Cricetulus griseus: one gene and its partner. The protein of the gene in region 1 interacts with the protein of each later gene in a pairwise test. Links are inferred from orthologs where the notes say so. Each region holds a gene or a part of one and is shown on either strand. Other genes may lie near its edges.

The links.
Region 2: the proteins of Tchp (region 1) and Krt16 interact in binary tests that used the Homo sapiens proteins (3 or more experiments, as listed by UniProt). The link is inferred for Cricetulus griseus from reciprocal best matches to the Homo sapiens genes TCHP and KRT16.

Annotation. Positions count from the first base shown.
Region 1 is NC_048597.1:94,317,712-94,322,005, reverse strand, and holds the start of Tchp (trichoplein keratin filament-binding protein), read right to left. Parts: upstream 2,803-4,294; 5' UTR 2,658-2,802; intron 2,061-2,657; exon of another isoform or gene 2,026-2,060; coding exon 1,832-2,025; intron 1,487-1,831; coding exon 1,276-1,486; intron 1-1,275. UniProt on the Homo sapiens protein: Tumor suppressor which has the ability to inhibit cell growth and be pro-apoptotic during cell stress. Inhibits cell growth in bladder and prostate cancer cells by a down-regulation of HSPB1 by inhibiting its phosphorylation.
Region 2 is NC_048600.1:112,353,967-112,357,970, reverse strand, and holds Krt16 (keratin, type I cytoskeletal 16), read right to left. Parts: upstream 2,810-4,004; coding exon 2,273-2,809; intron 1,813-2,272; coding exon 1,730-1,812; intron 1,560-1,729; coding exon 1,403-1,559; intron 1,317-1,402; coding exon 1,155-1,316; intron 1,067-1,154; coding exon 941-1,066; intron 666-940; coding exon 445-665; intron 349-444; coding exon 293-348; intron 152-292; coding exon 57-151; downstream 1-56. UniProt on the Homo sapiens protein: Epidermis-specific type I keratin that plays a key role in skin. Acts as a regulator of innate immunity in response to skin barrier breach: required for some inflammatory checkpoint for the skin barrier maintenance.

The DNA.
Region 1 (4,294 bases):
GTCGGCCCTCACTCTTGCTGGCAAACTCATTCACCCTGTTCTGTGGCCAGTATTAACTCCATTCTTACAGAAAGAAAACCAGATGTTAGCCATCACACACCTTTAATCCCAGCATTTGGGAGGCAGAGGCAGGTGGATCTTTGAGTTTGAGGCCAGCCTGGTCTACACAGCGGGTTCCAGGACAGCCAGGGCTACATGTGGTGGTGATACATTATTTATGATTTAATAAAAAGTGTCGTAGGTAGAGAAAGCAAAGCCAGTCATTAGCTCTTAGCTCTACCTCAGGTTGAAAGGGCTGTCCTGTCTCCAGGAACTCTTCACCAAGCCTCAGACTGCTGCCTCTCCTCAGCGTGGCTGGAGAATAAACCTCAGAATTCAGCCTGAGACACTGGGCTCCTGTCTTTTATAAACCTCTCTAGGGCTGGGATTAAAGACATGTGATCTCAAGTGCTGGGATCTAAGGCATGAGAGCTCTGTTACTCTTCACTCTTATGTAGGCCAGGGTGGCCTTGAACTCAGAGAGATCAACTTGCCTATCTCCTGAGTCCTGGGATCAAAGGTGTGTACCACCACTGCTTGGCTTCTACAGCTAAATAGTGGTCTGGCTTTGCTTTCTGATACTTCAGGCAATCTTTATTAAACATAAATGATACATCACCACAGCTTCACAGAGAAACCCTGTCTCAGAAAAAAACATAGCTGTCCTCCCCACCTCCGGCAAATCCTTAACATTCTACCATATCTGGTTCTGATCACAGGCTCACATTTTAAATGCTTGCCCTCAGCCAGGCACGTTATTCACCTTTCATCCCAGCATGAGGAAGTCAGAGGCAGCCAGGTCTCTGTGACTTTGAGGTCAGGCTGGTCTACAAAGAAAGTTCCAGGCAAACCAGGACTACATGGTGAGACACGTTCAAAACAGCAACAAAAAACCAACAGCAAAAATAATTGCTCCCCAGCTGGTGGCACTATTCAGAGGAGCCTGGGTGCCTTTAGTGGTGAGGAATTAGCTCGAGGAAGCAGCCCCCCCCCCCCGGCATGTCATTGAATGTTATAAACCAAACCCTACTTCTAATGGCTTGAGACCATCTAAAGCCAAGAGCTAAAATAGACTTTTTCTCCCTAAATAAATAAAGTGCTTTCCCCATGGACTCTTAGAATCATCTGGCCAACTCATCTGACCAAGGCACCCAAGAATAACCCCACAGATGCAACGGTCAGTTCAGCCTTCAGACACTCCCACTCTGCAACCTTGTTTGGGTCTAGGCTGGTTACCAGTTTCCTTCGTTCTTCTCGGGCTGACTTCAGATCCTTGTGCTGTTCCCTGATTTTTCGTTCCTGCAGGTTCACATTCAACCTCAGCTCTTCCAGCTCAGCGGCCAGCAGGTCCTGCTCCTCCAGCACAAGCTGCCTGAGTCTCTCACGGCGGGCTTCCAGACTCATCCTCTTCTCCTCCTTCATCTTCTCACGATGGTAGGCGTTCATGCTAGGTAAGGAGCCCACTGAGAATCAGCCACACCCAGGCCACAGTTTCATATGCATTTCTATATATGTTGGGGGGCGGGTATTTAAACACAAACACCTACAGAAAAGATGACTGATAGATTTTATCTTTCAAAATGCATGTTATTTCACTGGTTATTCTACACACACACACACACACACACACACACACACACACACACACACACACACACCACCCCATTTCCAGCTAGAATAGCATCACCATATAGATTACTCATGCTGTCACAAGCCACAGTACTTAGGCCCTGAGGCCACATGCCCCCAGCAGCTAATGGTAGGAATCAGCAGGCAGGACATTGATACTTGCCTCCTTTGGTAGGAGGTCTTGGAACTCCATTCGGCCAGTTTGGAGCTGTGGATGTCCGTAGTCTTGAAATAACGGCTGTTCTGCTCCCACTGCTGGCGAAGCTGGGCCTCCTGCTCTTGCTGGCGTTGGCGTGCTACCTTCTTGTCCAGGGGTCTCCGGGTGAGCCAATAAGAGGGCAGCGTGGGGAGCGCCATCTGAAGGGGACATCAGCGGGCAGAATCGAAGCCAGCTGCAAACTCAGGAACTTACTTGGATGGTCTCCTGTCTTTTACGAGGGCGCTCGCCCTTTGGCTGCACCTTTATAACAGCTTTAGGATCCACATTGCCACCCAAAACTTTACAACGAGGCCCAGGCCCGCACGTTTTAAATGATGTGCCACTGAGGCTGCAAATTATCAAATTAAATGAACCTGGACTGTGCCCGGCAGCGAGCCAGCCATTATCAGGGACGTTACCGACACAGACATCTTCCTGACAAGGCCGGGAAAGGCATAAAATGACAGGGGCAAGCAGGGCTCCGCGGCAGGCCCCAGCAGCCCCAAGGACTTTGGAGGCCGAAGCAGGACGAGATCACTTGAGTCCAGGAGTTCAAAGCCAATCTGGGCAAAACAGGAAGCCCTGTCCCCAGAGCAACAAAAGTAACTAAAGGCGATGACTTAGTTATCAGTGTGTGCGAGCACCGGACATGCACCCCATCCGGTGTCCGGAGACCTCCGACCAGCGAAGACAGCGGACGTCTCGGCCCAGCCTAGCCTCTGACTTGTGTTTCCCTGCACCCCAAGTTCTCCAAGAAGAGGCTCCGGCCTAAGCCCGAGCACGCGCTCACCAGATCCGAGAGTTCTGTGGCGCCAGCGGCAGCGACGCCAGCCGTTTCCCCTTCGGTTGCCCGGCAGCCCGCGGGACGACGGAGGCCGCGAAGGCCAAAGTACCTCCTGCACGACGCAGCCGCTCACCAGGAAAAAGAAGGGAAGTTGTTGTTCTGGCGCCCCCTCGCGGTAGGAGGAAAATCGACAGCAAGTGTCGCTAGGTGCCAGAGTGAGTCATGACCCAGAGTCAGGGTGGCGGTCCCCGGGGTGGGGGTGAAAACCAAGGGAATAGGAGAGAGGAGAATTAAGCCCATGTTTCTCAAATAGGGCACATCAAAATCATCCAGGGAGACGCCCCGAGGGAAAAAGAAATGATTTTCAGTGCTCCCTGGGTGTTGCCCGGTAGGCAGCAGAGGCCAGTAACAGCTGGTCTGGGTAATTACAAGTCTTTGGTAAATTCCTACTGATGTCTTGGATTACTGGTGGGTACAGAGGTTTTAATAACTGTAACTCACATGATTGCACGTATTTATGCATTAACTATTCCATTTTTAAAAAAGCAGGGCTGGGGAACTCCGCGATTGTGTGTGCTTAGCAAGTGCAAAGCTCTGAACTCACAATCCCCAGCACCCAGCACCCAGAATGCTGAGACATGAGACATAAGACTATAAGTTTATTATAAGGCCCGGCAGAGTAGGGAGACTAAGAGAAGAGGAACAGGGTAATGGCTGACTGCCATGGTCGGTCACCATAGAGAGACAGAGAGAGAGCATAGGTGGGAGACAGAGTAGAGAGAAAGCAGAGACAAAGCAGAGTGGGGAAACAGAGAGGAAACAGAGAGCATAAATGGGCAGGGACCTGTCCTTTTAAAGGGGTCCTCTGTATCTGCGTGCAGACTTAGTTCCCATGGAATCTTGGGCTGACCAGGGTACTGCCTGTTCCACCAGGTAACAGGAGCAGGCCAGCATAATGCCTGAACCTTTCATTCCCACCTCTACTTATTATTTTAAAAAGGTGGGGTGTTAGACATGGCAGGTTAAGGAATAAGGGCGTCGAATTCTCAAGACTGCTTCCTGCTGATGTGGGGGGCGTTGACCATCTTTGGGGGACCCGAGAAGGTTGGGGTGCTGCCACGTCCTGGGGAAGCTGGTTGTTTCATTGAAGTCCAGGCTGTATGGAACTCCCTGATGCCTCTTAGACCTGGCAAGATGTTGACAGAGCAGAGGACAAGGTTAAGTTTAGAAAAAAATTTTTTCTTAGATCCTGTCACTTGAGGGGAAGATTGTAAGATGAGGGAGGGGTTCCTGAGGAGTCCCAAGATGAATGAAGGGAATTTGGGACCGGGGAAAGGTTGAATATTACATGAAGTGAATCTGACCTGTTTGGATCTGATTCGGCTCCCTGGAACTTACAAGAATCCTTAGAGTTTGTGGAAACATAAGTATTAGACATGTTAGAAGCATATTCATGTTAGAAGCAACTTGGCTGAAAGTATTACCATTTAAAAATAGACAGATTTTTTTGGGGGGACCATGAAAAGCATCTTAATCTTGACCTTGTAGTTATGTTCCTATAGTGGTATTGTTGAACTTTACTATGAACAGTAGCATGAGAAATAGAGAAATCAGGAACATATTTCATTCTTTTACACTTTTCT
Region 2 (4,004 bases), on another chromosome or scaffold:
GGTCCTGGCTCAGGCCTCCAGGATGTGAGGCTGGCGTGGGTCAGGAGTGAGGCAGATCAGTTCCTGGAACTCTGGCTTTGGCTCTGGCTGAAGCTGGATGAGCCTTGCTCTTTAAGGATGGACCGGGGCTGGCGAGAGGATGAGGAGAAGACTGCAAAAAAAGGAGAAAAGATAGGTGGGCTTTGGGAGCTAAGCAAACTGCCACTCAGTGGGGAAGGGAGGGTCGGGGCTCTGGGAGGAGGGGTTTGGCCCTTAAATCACAGAATCAGTCTGTGGACCCCCGGGGCCTTACCTTCTCTTTCTCTGGAAGAATAGGAATGGCCAGATGAGTGTTGCGAGGAGGAGATTCTGGGATGAAGTAAACAGGGAGACATGGGAGCGTTAGATGTGCTGGGAGTAGCAGGGGGCAGAGGTGCTGCCAACAGGGGCTAAGGGCCAACTCACTGGGCATCCTCGCCATCCAGCAGCCGGCGGTAGGTGGCAATCTCCTGCTCCAGCCGCGTCTTCACGTCCAACAAGATATTGTACTCCTGACTCTGCTGCTCCATCTCACAGCGCAGCTGAGCCAGCTGCTCCTCCACACCGCTGATCAGACCCTGGATCTGGGCCAGCTGCATGCAGTATCGGCCCTTGGTCTCTTCCAGGCTGCTCTCCAAGGACGCTTTCTGTGAGTGGCGGAAAGGGGGAAAGGTTGGTGGTGATGACCAACTGTGTCTCTGCATTTCTGTCTGGGCACATTTTTTGATAGACACAGGGATCTTGACCCCAGCTGGGGGAAATTGGAGAAATGTTTTCCCAACATTCTGGCTTTCATTTCTCCTTCTCTATAATGGATACCATGACACCACTTCCAGTCTCATGGAATGAAAAGTGGGACTGGATGGTGACCCTCTTGAGGGATGGTGACTAGGGGACCTCACTGGGGCAGGATTCTTCATACCATGCTGAGCTGGGACTGTAGTTCGATCTCCAGGCCCTGGAACACTCTGCGGAGCTCTGACACCTCACTGCGGCCACTCTGTATCAGCTCACTGTTAGAGGCCACTTCTTTGTTCAGCTCCTCAGTCTGAAACAGGAGAGAGGACAAGGTGTGAGTCTCTCCAAAGCCTCCCAGCCCAGGAGTCCAGGAGGAGTACGGGGGAGGTAAGTCCCACCTTGCTCAAGAACCAGGCCTCTGCATCCCTGCGGTTCTTCTCGGCCATCTGCTCATACTGGTCTCTCATCTCATTCAGGATGCGGCTCAGGTCCACGCCAGGGGCTGCATCCATCTCCACGTTGACATCCCCACCAGTCTGACCCCTCAAGGCAAGCATCTCCTAGGAAAGATCATAAGGAGGTGGTCATCTCTCCTGGGAACGTCACTAAATCAGCCTTTCTCCTCCAAAACCAGAAGCAGCCTCACCTCCTCATGGTTCTTCTTCAGGTAGGCCAGCTCCTCCTTGAGATTCTCAATCTGCATCTCCAGGTCGGCTCTGGCCAGGGTCAGCTCATCCAACACCCGGCGCAGGCCATTGACGTCGGCCTCCACGGTCTGACGCAGGGCCAGCTCATGCTCATACCTGGGAGAGAGATCAGAGCTGCAGATGGACAGCCCTATTCTTTTGTCCCTGCGCCCAACCCTCTGCCCTCTGCCCTCTGCCCTCTGCCCTCTGCCCTCTGCCCTCTGCCCTCTGCCCTCCTCCCTCTGCCCTCTGCCCTCTGTCCTCTTCCCGGTGCGATGGCTGCTCACTTGGTCCTGAAGTCATCAGCTGCCAGCCTGGCATTGTCGATCTGCAAAATGGGCTGTGCATTCTCCAGAGTGGCCGCGATAATCTAGAACGGTAGTGAAAAGATAGGTGGTCTGATGAGCCAGTCAGGGACCCTCTGCTCAAGGCAGAAGGATAGAGGTGGGCAAAGCAGTCTCTCCAAATCCAGTGATCACATGGCTGGCAGGTCAGCTCCAACAGCTTCCGCAGACAACTGGCTACTCCGCCACCCACCTCAGGGTATGCATGCAGGGTGCACTTCTGTCTGTCACCACCCCTATCCTGGGCCCAGAGATAAGGAGCTGAGCTTCCACATGAAGTAGCCTCAAGAGCATTAAGAGTCAGAGTCCCTGTTCCAGCTAAGGCAGGGGTGTTCGAAAGGGACCCTCCACCACGTCTCTGGGTAACTCTGAACATGAGCCTCCAAAGGTCTTCAGTCTTCTTCCTTATATATCAGACTCTTAGAAGTGGCTTCCTAAAAGCCACTGCAGCTCTGGCCTCTTACTTCATCCACCAGAGCCACCCACCTTGCTCTTCAGGTCCTCGATGGTCCTGAAGTAGGAGCTGTAGTCTTTGGTCTCAGCGGGCCGCTGCCTCTGGTACCAGTCACGGATCTTCACCTCCAGGTCAGTGTTGGCCTCCTCCAGGGCACGCACCTTGTCCAGGTAGCTGGCCAGGCGGTCGTTGAGGTTCTGCATGGTCACCTTCTCACTGCCCACCAGGAGTCCATCACCACCACCAAAGCCACCACCAATGCCACCACCAAAACCACCACCAAAGCCACCACCAAAGCCACCACCAAAGCCACCACCAATGCCACAGCCAATGCCACCACCATATCCTCCAAAACTGCTGCTGCTGAAGCCCCCACCATAGCTGCTCCCCATGCCGCAGGCTCCCCCAGAGGAGAAGCGAGAGGAGCTGACTGACAGGCCCCCATAGGTGCTGGGAGCCCGGCAGGATCCTCCAGTCAGGACAGAGGAGATGCGGCTAGAACCGCCACCGATGCCACAGGAGCCCTTCATGGAGCTGGAGGAGGTGAACTGGCGGCTGCAGGTGGTCATGTTGTCCAGAGAGGTGAGAGCGTGAGCAAGTCAGCGAGCGAAGGGAAGAGAGAGCAGCTCAGGGAAGGATGTGGATGCTGTGGGTGCCTCAGACACCAGGTTCCTTTATATGCACCTGGGGAAGGCGGGGCCCTCGACTGCTGACTCTAGGTTCCCCTCTGGATTTCGTCACTAAGTCCCGTCCAACTCCCCACTCTGGATTATTCAGCCCAGGGTGGACTCTCCCCTCCATGTGCTGGCTCAGAGTTCCCACCCAGTTCTGGGGGCGTGGAGCCGAGAGAAAAACACACAAATCAGAGTTAGCACTGAGTCAGGCTGGCCAGGCTTCTGTTCCTGAAGCCTGAGGGGACAGCAACAGTGAGGTCTTGATGCCGGCAGCTCTGTGACAGCCGCGTCCTCAGGCAGTGAGTCAACCTCTCAAGCCTCCCTGCCCCACAGTGAGAACCTTAGGTGGCAGAAGCCCCATTGATACCCTCCCAGGCTGTCTTGGGGTGCCATCATGGGATTCTCACAAGCCATGCTGTAGAGCTGGGCTGCTCACTGTGGAACCCAAAGCCCTTCACCTCCCCTCTCTGTGCCTGCTTTCTCTCCGCAGGGACGTGTCTGGGCCGAGTAGCTGTAGTCCTTTCAAGTTCTAAAAATCAAAGGATTCCCTTTCCTATGGGATCTAACTTGGATTTGGAGGCTGCCTTTGAGACGCCAGGATGTTCACAGTGGCGTACACAACAACCATATCCTATGCAGCCACACACCTGACCTGCCTCACTCACTGACCAGTACAGGAGGATTTTGTCACCCCTCTGGGCCTGCAGGATATATAACAGTCACAAAGAAGCATGCCTGAAGGACCCTACCCCAGTGGCCAGCCTCTTCAACCTTCTTTTGCAGGCTAGCTGCCTTTCACACCCGCCTCCATAATCCTGGCCCCTAACATGAGGCTCTGCACCTAAAGAGCATTCATTCCAGTGCACAGCTCCTCCATCCCACCTCTGGCCTCACCTACTCAGGGCCTGCCTCTGTTGTCTGTAGTGGACTGCAGTGGGGGGAAACTCCATCCTGCTCCTAATACTGTTGGTGTGTCCCCACCCCCACCTCCACTCCACCCACCAGGGGCCTCAGAGTCCCCATGTGGAAACCATCTTGCCCAGGGGCTGATCTGCAGCTTTTTGGTGGCCATGGTTCCAGGCTAGGCTTG